Saccharomyces cerevisiae S288C: one gene and its partners. Changing the gene in region 4 together with the main gene of any one other region gives a genetic interaction. Each region holds a gene or a part of one and is shown on either strand. Other genes may lie near its edges.

Region 1 (6,315 bases), on a different chromosome or scaffold from region 4:
AAATCTAAAGACTAATTTTAAAATGGTGGACTTCCCACTGCCCGAAGACCCAACTATTGCGGTTTTCCAGCCTGCTGGGATGGTAAAGCTGGCATTCTTTAAAATTTTCCTATCGGGATGATATCCAAACGTGACGTTCTCAAAAGTAATATCGTAGGGAACATTTTCTGGAAGCATTAAGGGACGTTCGGCATTTTTAATCTTGACTTCATTTTTTCTTAACTTAAATAGCGTTTCCATATCAATCAGAGACTGCTTTAAATCTCTGTAAACACTACCAAGAAAATTTAGCGGTACTGATAGTTGAAAAACCAACTGATTAATTAGAACCAAGTCACCAACTGTCAAGTTGCCACCAATAACGCCGGTGCAACCCATATACATCATTGCAGTTAGGGCAGTAGTAAAAATTAGATTTTGGCCGGAGTTCAAAAATGCTAGAGATTGCGATACTTTAATTTGAGAGTCACGATAGTTCATCAAGGAGCCATTATACTTATCTGCAAGATATTTTTCATTGTTGAAGTATTTTACCGCCTCAAAATTAATTAAAGAATCTAAAGCCACACTGGCAGCTTTGTTATCGGCCTTGTTAGCATCCCTTCTAAAATGTGTCCTCCATGCGGTCGTCTTTATAGTGAAAATGGAGTATAAAAGCATTGTACTGAATGTTATTGCGGCAAATGACGCACCGAATTGATACGTCAAAATCCCACAAACGACAGATATTTCAAAACTTATAGGGATAATGTGGAATACCATGGCCGTTAACACTTGAGATATACCCTTTGTACCTCTATCCATGGCCCTCGTCAGACCACCCGTTTGTCTACTCAAGTGCCATCCCAAATCTAACTTCATAAGGTGCTGGAAAGTTTGTAGCGACACAGTTCTAATGGCATTCTGTGCCACTTTGGCAAATACGGCGTTCCTCAGTTCGCCGAATAAAACAGAGCCGAACCTTGCAACACCATAGCAAAGAATGGTTAATCCAATCGCTGCCGGAAGGGCGACTGTAGGATCATCCCATGCTATATTCATTGAATCAATAGTTTGCTTGAAAAAAAAAGGTACTTGAACATTTAAAATTTTGGCGGATATCAACAGTCCAAGGGCAATCAGTACCCTTATCCTCACTTTATTGTTGCCTTTGGGCCAAATATAGCGAAATAGATCTTTCAAGATTTTCAGTTCCGAGAGGGTTGGGGCCTTGCTGGTCTTTTTTACCTGAGTCTTCACTTTTGGAGCCGACGAGAATTGCTCGACGGATTTTTTGTGCGTAATATCCTTTTGTGCTTGATTCCATAAATTCACAGCTGAATTGAATAACAGAGGCCGCTGGGTTGATAACTTAGACACAGTAAATATAACGGGCGAATGGTTCCGGATTAGACCAGATCTAAATTTTGATCTTACAATTCGCCCAATTACAGGACATCTTGGAAGAAGCAGCATTTGCAGGTTGGAGTGGAATCTATCAACAACGATATACTTACGTTGCTCTGTCGCAATTTTCGAAATTGTACTCTTTGCTGTGCTGATTGCTTTGTTTGCGATTATTAATGTAGAAAGTCATCGGAAAGCCCTCGCGCTCTTTCCCAGTGAAATTTCACGTGATGTAATCTGATGAAGGGCACGTATAGGTCAGTGACCTTTGCTGTGCAAATTGGGTAAGGTAATTTCTTTTAAAGACTTTAAGAATGGTAAAGTGAGGTACAACAACATATTATAAGACTTACTTGGTATGTACCTTACCTTCCTTAGATATTTTTCATGCTGCGTAGAAAATTGCACCATCTCCAATCGTCACTTTTATACATTTTCAAAAGAATATAGATGAGTATAGCAATATAGGGTTTACACATATGTACAGAAAAGCAGAATAGTAAGTTTTGTTTCATCACTTAGATAGGTTTTTAATTTCTTCTTCACATTTGGTAATGACTGCATTACTGGCATTGATTTTACCGGATAAATAGTCCAATCTGGTCTTGAAAAGTTTCTGATCAGGAACTTTCCCCAAAGGTTTTAATTCTTCTTCCCATTTCTTGATTCTACCAGTTTCAAAACCCACAACCTTTAATAAGTAACGGGTTTTTAGCACTTTTGCGAGTTCAGGATCGTTGATCAAGTATGTGAATGCTGCCCTGTATAGCGGTTTGGCAGGCCTGATTTCCTGTAAAACACCCCTATCTCTAGATACAGTTATTAAACCATTATTCTCCAATTCCATGATTCCCGTTTCTGGTGCGGCTTTGAATAATGGCTTGTTAACGATTTCATGGAATGGAATGACTGGGTTCGCACTCAATAATTCGATTAATTCCCAGGCTTGTGCACTTTTATTGCTGTCAATCTTGTCACTTAAAAACATTTGAGTTATTTGCTCAGAAGCCTGTTCAATCATTTTGTCTACTGCTTCCGAGGGCTCTTCTCCTGACTTTACCCTTCTTACAAATGCCTGTAAGTCTAACATCCTACCACCCAATGGCTCTAAAGAAGCGTCAATTTCCTGTAATTCCTTTTCATTTAAAATAACCTCAGCTTTTTTGACACTCGTATCGGCCTCACTATCAGAATCATTATTTTCAGCAGTTTCCTTTTCTGATTCAGGTTCTTTTACGTTTTCACCCTTGGATTTTTTATTGTAATATAAGTAATCCTCCAATTGGGATAATACATAGTTCCTCGAATTCTCTTTTGAGGCATCTGATAGGATTAGGTTTTTGAAGACTTGATTGGGTAGTGATTCGCTCAATCTTTGGTTGGATGCAACGGTTTCCGTTAAGAAAATCACATGAGCAATATTCATTTGAACTAGCATAGCTGCCCAATCGGATAGTTCCTTATACACAAATCCATTTATTTCCGACTTGCCCTCAAACCTATCTATGACGATAACGGGTTTAGCTTCCGGATGTTGCTGTAGGTAATCTTCTTCCTTAACATTAACTGTCCCATCACCGGTGGAAACAAAAGCCTTGTAATTCTTGAGAGCAATACGTCTAATGGACATCAATGAGGTAGTTAACATGTTTCTAAACCGAGATTCCTTCGTCTCAGACAACCCAGTTTTTTGCCCTGTTAATCCTTGCACTGTTAAATCAAGGACACCTGTGACAGAGTCAATCCATGGGAATATTGGGAAATAACCCAATTGACTAGCGGCATTTTTTAAAAACATAGGATCTGTTCTGGACTTAATCAATTTATCACAATCCAAATACAAAACATTTGCTCTATTTTGCAAAGTGTGTTGCATGACCAAATCATGTTTCCCTGAACCTCTAGGCCCCCTTATAACCACAAAAGTATTATTATTTTCTTCAAGCCACATTTTCAGGTCATTCACTTTCTCTATTCTTTCCTCCCATAAATGCTTTCTTTGGTGATTATCATCAGGGCCGCCCCAGTAGTACTTGATAGAAGTCATGGTAGATGAGGTTAGCGTTTTCAGTTGTTTCCAAAACTTATTGTCCCACGATAAAGAATATTTGTGAGTGATCTTCTGTTCAATCGAAAATTCTCTTATAGGATCAAACACTAAAACAGCAAAGATTGAAAGTAGCGCAAATAAAACTGGAATAGCAATCCTTGTATGGTTGGTGAAAAAATTACTAACTAGATGGCCTCTTCTGATATTTTCGTATTGTATGTGTAAGACGGTATTATGAATTTCGATACCGGAAACACAATTCTTGGCAGAAATGGCACCACGGAATGAACGGTATCTTACCTTTGCCACATTGTTGTTAGCAGCAGTGGGAGGGAAAATATCAATAATTGTCCCATATCTTCTGAATAAAGAGTATATTTCTTCTTCTGTTAAGGCGGGCCCTTGGAACTTGATGACTATAGTGGTACTTGGTAGTCTTCTTAAATCCTCAATCCAAGGCGAACCCTTTACTGGGAAGGCAGAAGCTCGAGTGAAGTACGAGAGTAAGTTTTTAGAGGATTCTCTGGCTGTATTCTGTTGGATTAGAGAATTTACCTGAGCTTTTGTATACTTGGGTGGAACGACAAATGTGGCAAATACACCACCATCCCTTTTCACTGGAATGGTAGACTTCAACTCCAGTCCATAAATGGGGTTATTGGGTGGACTGGCTAAATTCCTTATTTTCTCCCTCACTGCATCCCGTGACTGGTTTCTTAGCAGGAGATTGTACCACAGTGTTGGATTCCAAACCGAGGTGGTTCTAGCGTAAACATTATCGAAATATATCAGAGTTTCTTCATCTGATTTGTGAATAACACCAGTATCGGTGGCGGTGTTTGACTCTCCTGCCTGCTGATCCTTTTGCTGGATCTCGCTCGACACATGTCTCACTGAGGGTTGGGCATTCATCAGGTTCGCTAGTCTATATTTGCCCTTGAGGATGCCTATTCCTCTGGCGAGGCATGGCACTGGCATCCTTGACACATTCAGGGAAGTCGTTCGTACTAGCAACATGGTTTACTTTTACAAATACTACTTCCTGTATAGGCCCGCTATATTTTGGTTTTAGATCCTGTCAATACTGAGTTCATCTTTCATTTTCTCAATATAACATTACCGTTATCTCCCTTATACTTCTCAAATTCCCATCTACGGAACCCTGATCAAGCCCTGAGAAACTATATGAGGGTGTGTACATTGCAGTGCATCATTTGTGAGGGTTCAATAATTGAAATTATAGGGTGGACGTCAAGACGAAAAGTGAAAAATTACATCCGTATAGAATTATATAACTTGATGAGATGAGATGAGTAAATGACAGAAGAATTACCGTTTCATCATTGAACTTCGATCATTTCAATGCTGGCATGCGAAGGAAAATGAGAAATATCGAGGGAGACGATTCAGAGGAGCAGGACAAACTATAACCGACTGTTTGTTGGAGGATGCCGTACATAACGAACACTGCTGAAGCTACCATGTCTACAGTTTAGAGGAATGGGTACAACTCACAGGCGAGGGATGGTGTTCACTCGTGCTAGCAAACGCGGTGGGAGCAAAAAGTAGAATATTATCTTTTATTCGTGAAACTTCGAACACTGTCATCTAAAGATGCTATATACTAATATAGGCATACTTGATAATGAAAACTATAAATCGTAAAGACATAAGAGATCCGCTTATTTAGAAGTGTCAACAACGTATCTACCAGCAATTTGGCCCTTCTCCATCTTTTCGTAAATTTCTGGTAAACTGGATAAGCCAACTACCTTTATTGGAGACTTGACTAGACCTCTGGCAAAGAAATCTAAGGCTTCTCTGGTATCAGCTCTGTTCCCCACGTAAGAGCCGACAATGGAGATAGACTTGACAACGTGGTTGAAGACATCAGAGGAGCACTTTGCACCGGCTGGCAAACCAACCAAGACAACAGTACCGTTCGCCCTACAGTATCTGGTAGAAGCTTCGATAGCGGCTTCGGAAACGGAAACATTGATGATACCGTGGGCACCGCCGTTGGTAGCCTTAACGACTGCGCTAACAATGTCCTTCTCTTTGGTGAAGTCGATGAATACTTCACCACCGAGCGAGGTAAACAATTCTTCCTTTCCTGGACCACCATCAATACCTAAGACTCTGTAACCCATCGCCTTAGCATATTGAACAGCCAAAGAACCTAGACCACCAGCAGCACCAGAAATGGCCGCCCAGTGGCCTGCTCTCAAGTTGGCAGACTTCAAAGCCTTGTATACGGTGATACCAGCACACAAGATTGGCGCGACTTCAGCCAAGTCAGTACCTTGAGGAATGTGAGCGGCTTGAACAGCGTCAGCGGTAGCGTATTCTTGGAAAGAACCGTCGTGGGTGTAACCAGACAAGTCAGCGTGAGGACAGTTGGATTCGTTACCCAATTCACAGTATTCACAGGCCATACAAGAACCGTTCAACCATTTGATACCGGCGTAGTCACCGATCTTCCAGCCCTTAACGTTTTCACCCATGCCGACAACGACACCGGCACCTTCGTGACCACCAACTAATGGTAACTTAGTTGGCAATGGCCAGTCACCATGCCAAGCGTGCAAATCGGTGTGGCAGACACCAGAGTACTTGACGTTGATTAACAATTCGTTGGGCTTTGGCTTTGGAACTGGGATATCCTTATGCTCCAACTTGCCGTTGGATTCGTAGAAGATAATGGCTTTTTGAGTTTCTGGAATAGACATTGTGTATTACGATATAGTTAATAGTTGATAGTTGATTGTATGCTTTTTGTAGCTTGATATTCTATTTACCAAGAAGAAACAAGAAGTGATAAAAACAACAAGAGAGCAGTAGTAAGAGTATTTCGAGTGTGAAAAAAGTCGCTACTGGCA
Region 2 (4,128 bases), on a different chromosome or scaffold from region 4:
ACATAAAGTCGTCATCACCGAATTCAAAATCGTCGGGGCCATCTAGGTCGAAATCTTGATCTTTCTTAAATGCGCCACCCAAATTGGTCTTACCTTTGACTTTCTTCTTACCAGCACCCCCAGTAGCAGTACCACCTCTAACACGGGCCAGACGAGCTTGCCTCTCCTCTCTTTCCTTATCTTTGATCAAAACGTTCAAAGTAGCAACTGTTTGTCTTATAGATTCGATGGACATTGGTTTTGCTACATCTCTAATCAAATCAATCGCTAACGATGAGGAGTAGTTCAGCGGAGATTTTTTGTTCATTGGTGTAATAGCAGCAGTAAGAGCCTTTCTTAAATCCTGGTACTCTCTCTTTGTTTCGGCGTTAAACAAAGGATGTGTTTCGATAGGTGTGTCCTTGGTAAAGGCGGGTCTTTTTAGAGCTTGTTCCTCTTGTTCCTTTTGTAAAGCACGAGCCCTTGGATGTTCTTCGGCAACACCTAAACCCGCAAACAAATCTGCAGCATTGTTTAAGTCAGACTCCATTTCAGCCTTTTTGATTAATTCTTTACGTGTCTTTTCATCCAATGTGTCAATATCCAATAGGGCTCTGTCAGCGGAGGATTCTTTCCCTTTTTTAACCTTTTTTGGTTGTTCTTTTTTTGGCTTTGGGGCAGGCTTCTTTTCTTCCTCTTCTGCATCCCATGATTGCATGACAGGTTCGTCATCACCAATTTCAGCATCCCATGAGTCCATCAAAACGGCGTCATCATTACCCATAGAACCATTGATAGCTTCGTCGTCCCAAGACATTTTTATTACTTTTTTTTTTTTGAGGTGGTGGTTAGGATAGAATAGTTACAAGGAACTCAAAAGATAGTAAGATAATTTAAAGCGAGAGTTCAAGAATGGTGGGAGCAGTCAGTTCTCAATTCTTTAATGTAGTACTTCTGACTTAGCTAGCATGAAAAAAAAATTCGGAAAATGCCCAAAAACAGGTGTGTTCGTCTAATATGATACAGGGACGACCATAATATCAAGATTAGTGACATTTGATGTATAGTTTAGCAGAATGACTGTTATAAATAAATAATTATATATGTGTGTATATTAAATTTTGTTGAACCAGCGCTTATTTACAATTTTTAGGACGTGACCAAATGCGAGCTGCACTAGTTTTCTCAATTTCGCTCGCCCATGGTGATATCTTTAAAGATCTTTAAATGGGAACATCAAAACTGAGGATTTCTCGCCTCTTCGAGTTTTTGGATAACAAATGCCATGCCCATTCTGCTTTTCTTAACGTTTTCGTCAAATTTAGTGCGCGACCAATCCTCTACCTTAGATTTGATACCCATATTGAAGCCACTTGAAAACTTCACCCGGCTGTCTGCTATCGTACTACTTGTAGCACTGTCAAATTGATAGGTAGTATATTCTTCAACCTTCATGATTCCAGTGTGATCCAGATTCCTAGTGTAAGTTTTCATTGTGGAGTTAGCGGGGTTCACTACGGAAACTTCGATTATCCATGTTTCTGTTATACCTCTTAAAAAGGGTTTGACCCATGTGGGCAGCTTTCCGGACTTTTTCAACAGCCTCGTTGTGCGCAAATTTCCTTCTTGATCAACGTTCCTTGATATTGTGTCTATGGATAGTACATGGGGGGAGTATGGATTGGGGTATCTATTAAAAAAGGCGCGTGAAACAGAGGCAAAATCGGTAGGAAATATATGTGTGCTTTTGTGTAAAAGGACCATTGCAACTCTTAAGGATATCTTACCGCCGTCTCAGAAGCCAGACAATACTTATTGAATATGATTACTCATCCATCTGTCATATATATTTTTTTTTTCTAGCTTATTATCCAGGGAGAGCGAGAAATACTGCGGAGTTTTTCACCCGAAAGAAAAAAAATACGCAAGCACGATGATAACAATAGTTATATTATTGGTTACCTACAGTGTATAAAAAGAAAGAGTTTTATTAAAATGCAGAACTATGTGGTGGTATACAGAACTGATTATACATTCTATAACAAAAGGGCACCAACGGCGAATGCACCCGCACCATAAGCTATGTGAGTGCCGGCAAAGGCGCCATTGGTAGAATTGGACATTACGGACGCTACCTTACCGTTGACTGTAGACTTGTATGTAGTGGTCAGTGTCTCTACTGTAGAACCTGACGTAGTGGTATAAGTTGATTTGATAGTGCTTACTACCTTGGTGCTTGATTCCGGTTTTGATGAGGATCCCGAAGATGATTTACTTGATGAAGCCGTGTTGTCAGTTGTGGCTGAGGACGGTAGCCACCAAACAGTAGATGTGTAAGTCTCACCTAACGAATTCGTGGTAGTTACTATAGTAACTGGCCCGTCCGTTGATGTTGATGTCGTTGAGGAGGATGCGGAGTTGGTGATTCCGCTTGACGTCTCTCCGGTGGGCTGCACAGAGGCAGTTGAAGTTGTGCTTACGGCAGAGTTGCTTTCGGCCACCCACCATAGGTACTGTGTCGTGGTTTTGCCTTGTGCATCCGTCGTCACTACGGTGGTACTTGGAGCCACAGCATAGGTGTTGCTGACGACGTTGCTAGTTTGTACTAAGCTTTTTCCGGTAGAAACTACAGTTGATGCGCTTTCTTGGGCTTCCTTTGTCGTGGTAGGTGTGATCTCTTGAGAGTTTGAGCTTTCCTTTTGTGAGCTATCTTCAGAGTTCTGGCCATCTAAGGAACCAGAGTCTTTTTGAGCAGCGGCTAGAGTAATTAAGGTGGTAAATAATATGGAACAGGCCTTCATTTTATATATATGTTGGGTTTGTTTATATTTTCACTAGATCGGTGAGTATCTAGTCCAGAAGAGTTGATCTTTCTTACATACTTATATATGCTCACTACCGCCTTCTGAGAAAGTAGGCGTTTTTCAGCTACCTCAGTCGCTAAAAATAAATGCGAGTTCTCAAGCCAACTTGGACTCCAAGGCGGTAATTATAGTGATTCTCTTTGTCTATTTTTGGATTTATTTTGGAGGCTGACACTCTAAAGCCAGCCATTGGATTAATTATTTTTTCACTTCGTCAATTGACTATGCGGAAAAACTAAATGTGGTCAAATTCTGTCGGCTATGTACACGAAAACTATATACGCCTCGTCCTTTCAGCCACTACAACATAACAACACCGACATTGCTACGCCTTTTAATGTCGTTACTATTGTCGGGATTCAAGCCACCGGTAATCGGCTTTGCTCTATAATTAAATAAATAGAAGTTCAAGAACCCGTCACCGGGCCCGAACTTCAAATCATCCAAGAACAATGTATTATCTTGCGAAGTCAACGCGTTAAAAACATCCATATTAGCGTTTTTGGCCAAAATACAAGCGTCATAAATCAATTCACACAATCTTGTTTTCAAAGCCTTAGTAGCTTTTGGATCAAACCTGTCTTTGAATTGGAAATCTGCATCGGTGGCATAATAATACAAGTACCCGATGCCTAGGTCCTTATATTTTGTGTTATTTAGGATTGTGAATGGCAATGAGTAAAATGAGAAGAAGTCTGTAATTTTTCCATCGGGCTGTTCGACTACATATGAGAAAATTACTTGTTTATCCAATGGTAACGATTCTTCACCAATGAAATTATGTTCGAATTCTTCTTTTGTGAAAATTTGAATTAGTTCGAACCTGGATTGATATCTTTTGAACAACTCAAAAACTTGGTCAATATCTTCCTTCTTTAATTTTCTCAATCCCGCTGTCTTTGTTTTGGCCGGTAACGCATTCTCAGCAATCATATCCTCCTCTGTGTGCCCATCTGGTAACCCTGTGAAATCTACTTCATAAAGTTTCTTCCAATTCAAGGGACGATGAGTATAACGACACGTACTCACAGGTGCTGGCAAAACAATACCTGCCGTGTACAATGCATGCCAGATGTCACATTTGTTCACTCGTCTCGTAATTTCTTTAATTAGAACAGGTGTTAATCTCTTCGATCTTAGCTGTTTGTGAACGCACAAGAAATTGATTTCTACACTAGGCACTTGTTTACCTCTAACACCAAGTGTTACTGGTATGGCTGAGATAAAGGCAACTAATTTCTGTGTTTCTTTAACGCGAACACCAATATGCCAATCCTTCTTCCAA
Region 3 (4,030 bases), on a different chromosome or scaffold from region 4:
TTCATTACTGCCCTTTCCCCTACTAGTATTGTGGGTTTTATCCTGTACAATTAACTCATTTAATTGGTGTTCCAGGATTTCTACCTCTTTCTTTAGCTGACTTTCTCTCTCCTCATGCTCTAGTTTCCACCAAGAGAAGTGAAGCAGTAAATAAACGGAAGATCCCATTAGAATGAACATCCAAAGAGGCCTAATAAATCTTTTTACAGGGATCTCATGTCCTGATTCTTCCTCTTGCGAGAATTTTTTGAGCATATCTAACTCCTTTTTGATATTTAATTTTGTAGTATGCTCATTAATCAAATCGCGTATCAGTTCAGTATCAACACCATCCAAAGAATCCAAATTAGCCAAGTCTTCTAGGCTCTTGATTTCTTTCTTCGGTGACGTTGAAACAGCTCTTCGTTGTTGGTTGAGGAGGCGCCTGTGGTAATAGGCAACGGTTGTTATGGGAAACAATTTAGTTCTACTCAAAGTAATGAGAGCATTAGAGCGTCTTTTTAACATATTGTCTATTATATGCTTTGGTTCCCATTTCCTTTCTCAAAGTTTACAAATATAACAGAGTGCTTAGCGAATACTTTATTTTATGAGTCTTGCCGTTAGTGACCCCACCCAAAATAAGATGCAAACCGGTATACATATTAGACATTTCCCACGTATACAAATATATTAAGTAAATAAGCCTCGTCGTGATGAACTTAAATACATGGTATTGAGAGAGTTATAAACAGGTAGATAGATATCTTAAATAAAAATAAGCAGATAAGTAACAATGTTTAAGAAAACGATGGGGAAGCGTAAATATATGCAAAATTTCCCCCTCAGTCCTTACGTATACCGTATTTGGCACGAAGCTTCCACATTTCCAGTCTTGCCTGTTGCTGTAGGTTCAGGTTAGGATGGGACATTGGACTACTTTCACTATCACTTCTGATTATAGACCCGATGGACATAAATAGCCCAAAGGTACCCGCTGAACCAGCAATGTATTTCCCTAGTGTTCTAACTACACCATCAGGACCTGGGCCTTGAGTTGCGATGGCAAATCCACCAAATAGGATGCCTGTGCAGACACCGACGGTAGTACCCATCATCAACCCCATTTTGAATTTGTCCCAATTCGAAGGCTGCTGTTGCGCATAATTTTGTGGAAGAGGAGGCATTATATCTTAATATTGGACTTGAAGCTGTTGCGCTATTTGTGCTATATGATCTTGTGTGGTGTTCTGTGCTTCCTTCTTATGGAAAAGTAGTGGAGTCTGTTTGGTAATGTTGGTCTTGTTCGGGAGTTTTGAAAAGAAAATAAAAAGTGGTTGGCTCATAATGTTAAGAAAGAATTTCCAGTTTCCGATTGAACACAGCAATCTACAGGTAGACATTGTGAATCATGCTCGAATTACGAAGTTGTAGTAATTTGGTCAATAGTAGTAGGAGACTTGTGCCTCTGGTGACTTATTCCGGACTAAGTGCAATAACATTGCCTAAATCTCGATTTTATTCACAGCCTAGTGCTTTAGAAGTACAGGGCACATCGGATTCTCGAAGCGATAATATTTTAGACGAACTCAAACAAAGGGGTCTAGTGTCCCAGGTCTCACAGCCAGAGAGTTTCCTTCGGACGAAGTTGAACGGTAACGATAAGATCAAATTATACTGCGGGGTGGATCCCACAGCTCAGTCACTTCATTTGGGAAATCTAGTTCCACTAATGGTTTTATTACACTTTTACGTAAAAGGTCACGACATTGTCACTGTGATAGGTGGAGCTACAGGGAAAGTTGGGGACCCAAGTGGTAGGAAAACAGAAAGAGACGTTATGGAGAACGATATTAGGCAAAGCAATGTGGCATCCATCTCGCAGCAATTACAAAGGTTTTTCAAAAATGGCCTAGAATATTACAGAAACCGATGTGCTCTCACTGAAGATGTACCTTCCGGAAAATATACACCAAGGAATAATTTCAACTGGTGGAAAGACATCAAAATGTTGGATTTCTTAGCTGATTTTGGTAGGCACATTCGGGTACAATCTATGTTGGCGAGGGATTCAATTTCTTCGAGGCTTCAAACCAAAAATGGTCTGGGATTTAACGAATTTACTTACCAAGTTTTACAAGCGTACGATTTTTACCATTTGTATAAGGAAGAGAATGTGACTATACAAGTAGGTGGTAACGACCAATGGGGAAATATAACAGCCGGTATCGATCTCATCAATAGGATACAGCCTATAAAGAATAAGGGTTTGCCATTTGGTATCACTGTGCCCTTGTTGACGACGGCTACAGGAGAGAAATTTGGGAAAAGTGCAGGCAATGCTGTTTTTATTGACCCCTCAATCAATACGGCGTATGATGTTTACCAGTTCTTTTATAATACTTTGGATGCTGATGTACCCAAGTTCTTGAAGATCTTTACGTTTTTAAACTCAAGTGAAATCAAAAAAATTGTGGAAACGCATATCAAATCACCCAGTCTACGTTATGGCCAAACTTTATTGGCTAAAGAAGTCACAGATATGTTATATGGAGTTGGCTCCGGATCGGATTCAGAAGCGCTTTCTAATATTATTTTTGGACGTTATGACGGAACTTTATCTGCTGCGAAGTTAGTTGATCTATGTAAAAAAGCCAGAATTTTGCAGTATGCTGATAGAGAGATTGACTTAATAAAGTTAATTTGTAAACTAGTAAATTGTTCAGTATCAGAAGCCAGAAGAAAACTTTCCCAGGGAAGCGTGTATCTGCATCATTCAAAATCTAAAGTAAACGAAAATATTTCTAACTTGGCTCCTTTCCTGATAGATGATCGAGTACTGATCTTGAGGATAGGAAAGCAGAAGTGTTTTATAATAGAAATGCGTTAAAAAAAAGGGAGGTATATAAAGTACATGTATAAAATAGGCATGCGTGAGGTGATATTATATCATTTTATGCACTGACTTGTAAATAAGATTATAAACGATTATTCATCTTTACTACTTGCGAACATTTCACTGTCACACCAGGCTATGAGGGCCCACAGCCAGAGAGTCGCAGGGCATAGCAGTAATACACACCAGTAGTGCAGGAAAGAGTCATTGTTGCGTAACCAGTAAAATGTAGCAAGACTAATTAGGAGTACCGAGTAAGTAAACCCTAAAACCAAAAAGCCTTGGTCACGTGGTCTCATGCGCTTATAAATTCTCAATCATGTAATTGAAACAGTCCTGTTGCCTAGTTTCAACTGTTCTATGCTTCTTGATGTTTTCGAAACTTTGCGTAGTGTAATCTTCCTTGTATTGTAGCGAAGAAAAAAGGATGCGTTGGGAACAGATATAGAAGACGTAAAACAACCTGAAGAAGGTAACAGGTGGAGTAGCAATGGGAGAGGTATACGAAAAAAATAACATAGATTTTGATTCAATAGCCAAAATGTTGTTAATTAAGTATAAGGATTTCATACTGTCTAAATTCAAGAAAGCTGCACCTGTAGAGAATATAAGGTTTCAGAATTTAGTCCATACAAATCAATTCGCACAAGGAGTCCTAGGTCAGAGTCAACATCTCTGTACAGTCTATGACAATCCTTCATGGCATTCTATAGTCCTGGAGACATTGGATCTGGATCTAATATATAAAAATGTTGATAAGGAATTTGCCAAAGATGGGCATGCAGAGGGGGAAAATATATACACGGATTATCTAGTAAAGGAGCTGCTTCGCTACTTCAAACAAGATTTTTTCAAATGGTGCAATAAACCAGATTGTAATCATTGTGGCCAGAACACTTCAGAAAATATGACACCTCTGGGCAGTCAAGGGCCCAATGGAGAGGAATCTAAATTCAATTGCGGAACTGTTGAGATCTATAAATGCAACCGATGCGGAAATATCACTAGATTTCCTCGTTATAACGATCCAATTAAGTTGCTGGAAACTAGAAAGGGAAGATGCGGTGAATGGTGCAATTTATTTACTTTGATTTTGAAGTCGTTTGGGTTAGATGTTCGCTACGTCTGGAATAGAGAAGATCATGTTTGGTGTGA
Region 4 (5,505 bases):
CAAGGCTTTTTGCAATTCGTTGTTTAATGCTATTGATTTTTGCAAGTTTTCCTTTGTATCGGAAAACTCAGATTCCAGCAGTTTATATTTCCTTTGCCAATCATCGACCAAATTGTGTAGCATCTCAACCTTCTCTTCCAGAACCTGGATTCTTGTTGTTCTGCGTTCCCTATATGCTCTTTGCGCATCTCTATTTTGCCTCCTTCGCTTTTCCACGCTATCGACACCGTTTTCATCACCACTTCCGTTGCCTTCATCATCAGATTTCCCCTCATGACCTTTTGCGCCTTCGTTCTCATGATCTTTTGTGGTCATTTGGTCTTTCTGGTTGGAAGTTTGAACCTTCTTTATCTTGGACGATCCATCATTATTAGCTGATGCATCCCCGCGCTTGGATTTCGGTTTGCGGCCCGGTTTTAGGCGCTGTGGTAACTCCCAATTCTTGGATAACTTAATAGCTGACGGTCCTGATGTACTCACATTTCCATCTGGTGAGGATGGAGGTGGAGACGTCGTAGACATGGAACCCTGTTTATGCCCCAATTTGAAGCCTTTGGGCTTTACGCTAACTGCTACTACAGACCTTCGTTGTCTCATGATCCATTGAAAGTGTGCGTAAATGACAAAATTTTGTGCCTTTCTATATTCTTTAATTGATGATTTACTTCCTTGATAACGGCTCAACAAACGAAGAGCAATTTTCAAATTTCAAAAGAAAAAACCGTTGAAACTGTTCTTGAGCAACTTTCAAGCCTCTTATGATGATGTGCTACAGATTGAAGTACAGGTGAAAAGAGGAATAACCAATAGCCTTGTTTGCTTTCTACGGTGGGGCAGCGGATTTTCTCTTTTATGCTTATGCTTCTTCTTCCATATATTACTAATTTTTCTCGAGCGAGCAGCTTTACTGCGTGCATTACCGATGAAAAAAATCGCCGATATATGAAAATCCAGCTCATAAGATGCTGATTAAGGAGTCATGAGTGAAAGGACCCTCGTGGCCATCACAAAAAAGACACTTTGCTCCTGTATAAAAAAAAAAATAAGGCGGTAGTTTAGATAGGGTGTCTATTATATACATGCATAATAATTTAGTTTTGAAGGGTCGCTGGTTTTGCCGTGACGTACGCTTCTCTTTGATCTTTTGCCATTGTTGTCAGAGAAAAGAGAACCGATTGACTTTTTTTTTTTAGTTTTTTTTAGTTTTTTTCTTAGGCTTTGATCTAATATCAATCTTTCTTAATGACAAAAGTCTTCGCAGCTTGATCGGCCGGAATGGGAGGTACAGATTTTGCTTCTTCCTCTTCATCTAGGTTGATATCATCTGGCACATGCTCTCTCGAAGCTCTTTGCTTAGCTTCCTCTTCCTCCTTCTTTATTAGTTCTTCTTGCTCCTTCAAAACGTTCAATTTGAACTCGTTATCGTCGGATGTCTTCTTTTCTTCAGCTTCCGTGGCTTCCGCAGAGTCGGTAGGCTCTGCGTTCTCTTTTTCCTGAGATATTTCCTCTGTCTTCGCTGTTTCTGCCTTTTCATTAACTACGACTAGTTTAGGAGTAACCGCAGAAGCGGTGGTAGCTATAACAGACTCTTTTGCGGTGGCTTCTTCCTTCGGTATAGCAGTTTCCTCGGGTTTTTCTTCCGTCTTTATCTTCTTTTCAGCAACTTGCTTTTCAGCTTCAGTTTCAGCAGCGGATGATTTCGATTCAGATACATCTAGTTTTGCGACGTTGTAAACGGGATCTGGAATGGAACTTAGCACTTGTAATATACCGTCGTAGTACAGATCCAAAAGGTCGTCATATTTGCTTTTTGTTTCTTTTTTTTCAGCTAGTGGCGAGAATGCCTTTGAATAGTTCTCCTTTGGAAGTCCTCCAAACGTGAACGTGGAACTCAAAACCATCAAGACGGATGGGATTTTTTGTCTCAGTCTCAATTCTAGCCAAACTTTTAGATTATCGACCAAGTCCTCCTTGGATACACCGTACGCTTTCATACCACGAGACACACAAGCTTGATACAGCTCTTCTTGCGATAAACTTTCAACGCCTTCGTAGTCAATAGTTTTATCGTCGTTCATTATATCCTTTAGTTTGGAACGAATTTGGTAACGAAGCATGTTATCGTTACCAAATGGCCTTAGTGACATAAACTTCGACATTGCTGCCAATTGTGGTCTTGACAAGTTATCCAAAACGCTATCGTTTTTGAACATTTGCGCAATGGCGCTTATTTCATCGTGTTGGAAAGTCATAATCTTACCTTCCTTGGCAGAATAAAGCTTCCGGAAAAAATTCAAAAATTTTTGCTTCTTCTCTGCATTTTCAATGGTGTTGTAAGTGATCAAATTGGATTCTTCCAAAGTCTCATGCAAGAATTCGGATGTCTTTTTTCTGATCTCGATGAGCTTATTTCTCTTGGCTTGCTTATCCTTGCCGGATTCGTAAGTGGAGGGTAGTAAGTTGGGGAAGAGTTTCAAAGCGAAAGGCAAAAATAGTTCGGCGAATGGAATAATAAGGAACGCTGAAAAAGGGATCAACCTAAACACATCGCCCATTGTCCTCCTCAATTGGTTCCTCTCTCTTCTAGACAACTCGTAACCCTGAGCAAATTTAATCAAAAGCTTAGTAGAAACTTTGATTTCGTAACCCAAAAGTTTCGTCCCATTAGCATAATGTTTCAAGGCGTGCTTCACTTTGACCATAAGCGTCTCCTTGGGCTTGGCAGGAGCATCGGTGGATGTTGGAGCTACGGGCTTCGTAACACTTTTCGACTTATCAGTAGAATAAAATCTCAAAGATAAAGGATAGTTGGGCTGTACTCCTTGCGCTCTCAAAGGCCAATGACACGAGGGAATAGTGGAAGCTATTAATCTAGGGCCTTGATTTTTAACAAAATACAAGCTTGCTTGACGTCTTGTCACACATGACGCTCTTGATGCGAAATTCAACATCTTAGTATATTATCTGTAGTGATAGAGATAGCGTATATTATGCGCTGCCTGAAATGCACTGCGCTGTTCATATTCATCACCGTGGCAATGACTGATCCATTTATTTGGAGATGATTCAACGAATAATTTTTCACCGCGGGATTATCGCCCAAGACGGGGTCGTTTGAGGGTAATACCGTGGCTAGCTTTATGGCTTGTGAAACTATTGCCAGTTATGTGGTTACGTATAATCTACCGTATGTGTGTGTGTATTTATTTATGTAGGTTGCTAATGCTTTGGTGATCGTTTAAAGGAACTTGGACGCAACCCTCCCACGGGTGCCAGGGCTTGAAATCTCTTTCAATGCTGCTATTTTGCGCGACTCTGGGTACACCTTATACCCCTTGTTTCTATGGTTAAACCAATTGAATCTCCAGCAGAGCTCGTGAGCAAATAGCTCGCCGAAGCCGAGCATCATGCCGTTGAGGAAGGGCAAAAGTAGGTTGATGGAGCACGAGCCTACAAAGGATACAAGGCTCTGCACAAGTGGGCTCTCGTCGGCACTCACTGTGTTCTGCACCTCCATACAGTCTTTGTCTTCTGATTCGTCATCTGACACGCTCTCCCAGAATCCCACAACCTCTGTCATATTTCTGTCTTGTGGCAGTTTCGTAAGAAGGGGGGTGATGTTTCTAATATTACAGTGATGTTCTATTGTTCAAGTAAAGTGTATGGCTGTTTCTTATGGCGCGGAATATACCACTTCGTTATAAGTGATTACATCTCGTAACGCATTCCTCTTGTTCAGTGGTAGGGGAGGCCGATGGTAGTGGAATAATACGCTTTTATGGGCCATTGGTATTACTATTTATCTTCGTTATAATAAATAGTACACGTTGCAGACATATTTGGAGGAGAGTTTTTAAAGTACTGTTGGGGTGCTCTTGCTGTGCATTGTAAGTAATCGTGTCCCAGTGGCCGAGTGGTTAAGGCGATGCCCTGCTATTTCCTCAGAAAAGCAATTAGGCATTGGGTTTTACCTGCGCAGGTTCGAATCCTGTCTGTGACGCATTTCTTTTTTGTGAATTCTTGCTTCTTATCCTTCTACAATCCTTTCGTGACATTTATTGAATCATCTCTACAAAATTTTTACACATAGCTAAGGTTAGCTTGTTCTACATTACACAAGTGGTAGCAAAATCGTTTACATTGCACTCAGCTATATCAACATCACGTTCTACCGCAACTAGTAATGAGCTTGCACATTAGTAAACTGATTGAGCAATATCGTTCCACTAAGGACAATGACCTTAAATATATGCTTTTAAGGCAAAACTTTAAAATTAACGACATAGAGGATGAGCTGGCTCCTCTTGTTAACGAATTGCTGCTCCCGGTATTGGTCGAAGAACAAGACATGGAAATTCTCAACCTAGTATCGTTTCAAGTGCTCCCCGATTTAGTTCTTTCTATGATCAGCGACCCTGCAGCTGCTCAGTTGGGATGGGTAATAAGCTTGATATGCGACCCTTTATTAAACCAAAGCATGATACATGCAAATCGTTCTTTTGTTCTGATTGAGACACTAAGAAATGTGTTACAAAAAATTGAAAACTCCCCTCATTTAGATTACCACCAACCAGTAAACAGTTCATTAGAGTTTATCTCCAAATTTATTGTTGAAATGAAAAGGCATATGTGTGATGTGGATGCTGCGCAGCTTTCACATTCACTTTCTGAAAGCAATATGCTAATTTACATAGAATCCCTTAATCTATTGCTAAAATTTAGCTTCTTTTCAGACGCGGCAAGTCCTTCAGTAATGGTCACACTGCCCTTTGATATTTTGAATGACGTTTTTACAATTGCGCAGGACTATTCTGCTACGAATACAAATGAAAGCATTGATAGGATCACAGAAAAATTACTTTTGACTTCTACGCAATTAACTCATCCGGTGGACCTGGAAAATTTATGCCCCAAAATGAAGTACAATACTTTAGCAGCAGTTTCTCGAATATGGTACAAATTTGGCCCCATAGTCGATAAATTATTTACTAACCGGCTATTACCGGTTCTATTCCCCCCGCAAATGGGAGAAGAATGTAACGTCGAAGATGTTCTCGAAATAGTTCATAACTTCCATCCATATTTTTCTATTCGTAGGCTAAAGGATAATAGGCCTCTATTGTCAGATTCGACTATTAGCCAGCTAAGAGAGGGTTTGTTTGGTATGCTCAGCATATTAAACGACTCGCTGACAAGGACGCAAAATGAAAACGACCATGGTAGCGACAATCTGATCGACAGTGACGACGGATTTGGCTCAGACAACGATCCTGAACAACAAGCGTACCTCGATGAACTCGTATCAGAAGGTTATGACGAAAACATGTATGACGGTGATACGGATGACGAAGACGCAGATGATATAAACGTTGAAAAAAATGATGAAGCCACCAAAGACATTACAGAAACGAACAAAATCCTTTTAATCTTTTCTGAGTTACATTATCCTCAGGAGGAGCGCTTCTCTGAACTGTTGGTTGAGTTGCAGACTAAGATCGCTATAAA

The links.
Region 1: mutations in MDM38 (region 4) and YME2 together harm fitness more than expected from each alone (negative genetic interaction), as found in Saccharomyces cerevisiae (4 studies listed by BioGRID, with this or other methods).
Region 2: mutations in MDM38 (region 4) and UPS1 together harm fitness more than expected from each alone (negative genetic interaction), as found in Saccharomyces cerevisiae (3 studies listed by BioGRID).
Region 3: mutations in MDM38 (region 4) and MGR2 together harm fitness more than expected from each alone (negative genetic interaction), as found in Saccharomyces cerevisiae (3 studies listed by BioGRID).

The regions. Positions count from the first base shown.
Region 1 is NC_001145.3:868,173-874,487, forward strand, and holds YME2 (Yme2p), read right to left. Parts: upstream 4,454-6,315; coding exon 1,901-4,453; downstream 1-1,900. Other genes in the region: ATP-binding cassette Fe/S cluster precursor transporter ATM1, read right to left, coding at 1-1,455; alcohol dehydrogenase ADH2, read right to left, coding at 5,119-6,165. UniProt on the Saccharomyces cerevisiae protein: Plays a role in maintaining the mitochondrial genome and in controlling the mtDNA escape. Involved in the regulation of mtDNA nucleotide structure and number. May have a dispensable role in early maturation of pre-rRNA.
Region 2 is NC_001144.5:538,794-542,921, forward strand, and holds UPS1 (Ups1p), read right to left. Parts: upstream 1,744-4,128; coding exon 1,216-1,743; downstream 1-1,215. Other genes in the region: HCR1 (translation initiation factor eIF3 core subunit j), read right to left, coding at 1-796; NCW2 (Ncw2p), read right to left, coding at 2,016-2,780; glycylpeptide N-tetradecanoyltransferase NMT1, read right to left, coding at 3,144-4,128. UniProt on the Saccharomyces cerevisiae protein: Required for maintenance of normal mitochondrial morphology. Required for PCP1-dependent processing of MGM1.
Region 3 is NC_001148.4:363,562-367,591, forward strand, and holds MGR2 (Mgr2p), read right to left. Parts: upstream 1,167-4,030; coding exon 825-1,166; downstream 1-824. Other genes in the region: INA17 (Ina17p), read right to left, coding at 1-507; tyrosine--tRNA ligase MSY1, read left to right, coding at 1,391-2,869; ERI1 (Eri1p), read right to left, coding at 2,968-3,174; PNG1 (peptide-N4-(N-acetyl-beta-glucosaminyl)asparagine amidase), read left to right, coding at 3,366-4,030. UniProt on the Saccharomyces cerevisiae protein: Required for cell viability in cells lacking mitochondrial DNA.
Region 4 is NC_001147.6:270,774-276,278, forward strand, and holds MDM38 (ribosome-binding protein MDM38), read right to left. Parts: upstream 2,952-5,505; coding exon 1,230-2,951; downstream 1-1,229. Other genes in the region: YAP7 (Yap7p), read right to left, coding at 1-597; MIM1 (Mim1p), read right to left, coding at 3,239-3,580; LAG2 (Lag2p), read left to right, coding at 4,184-5,505.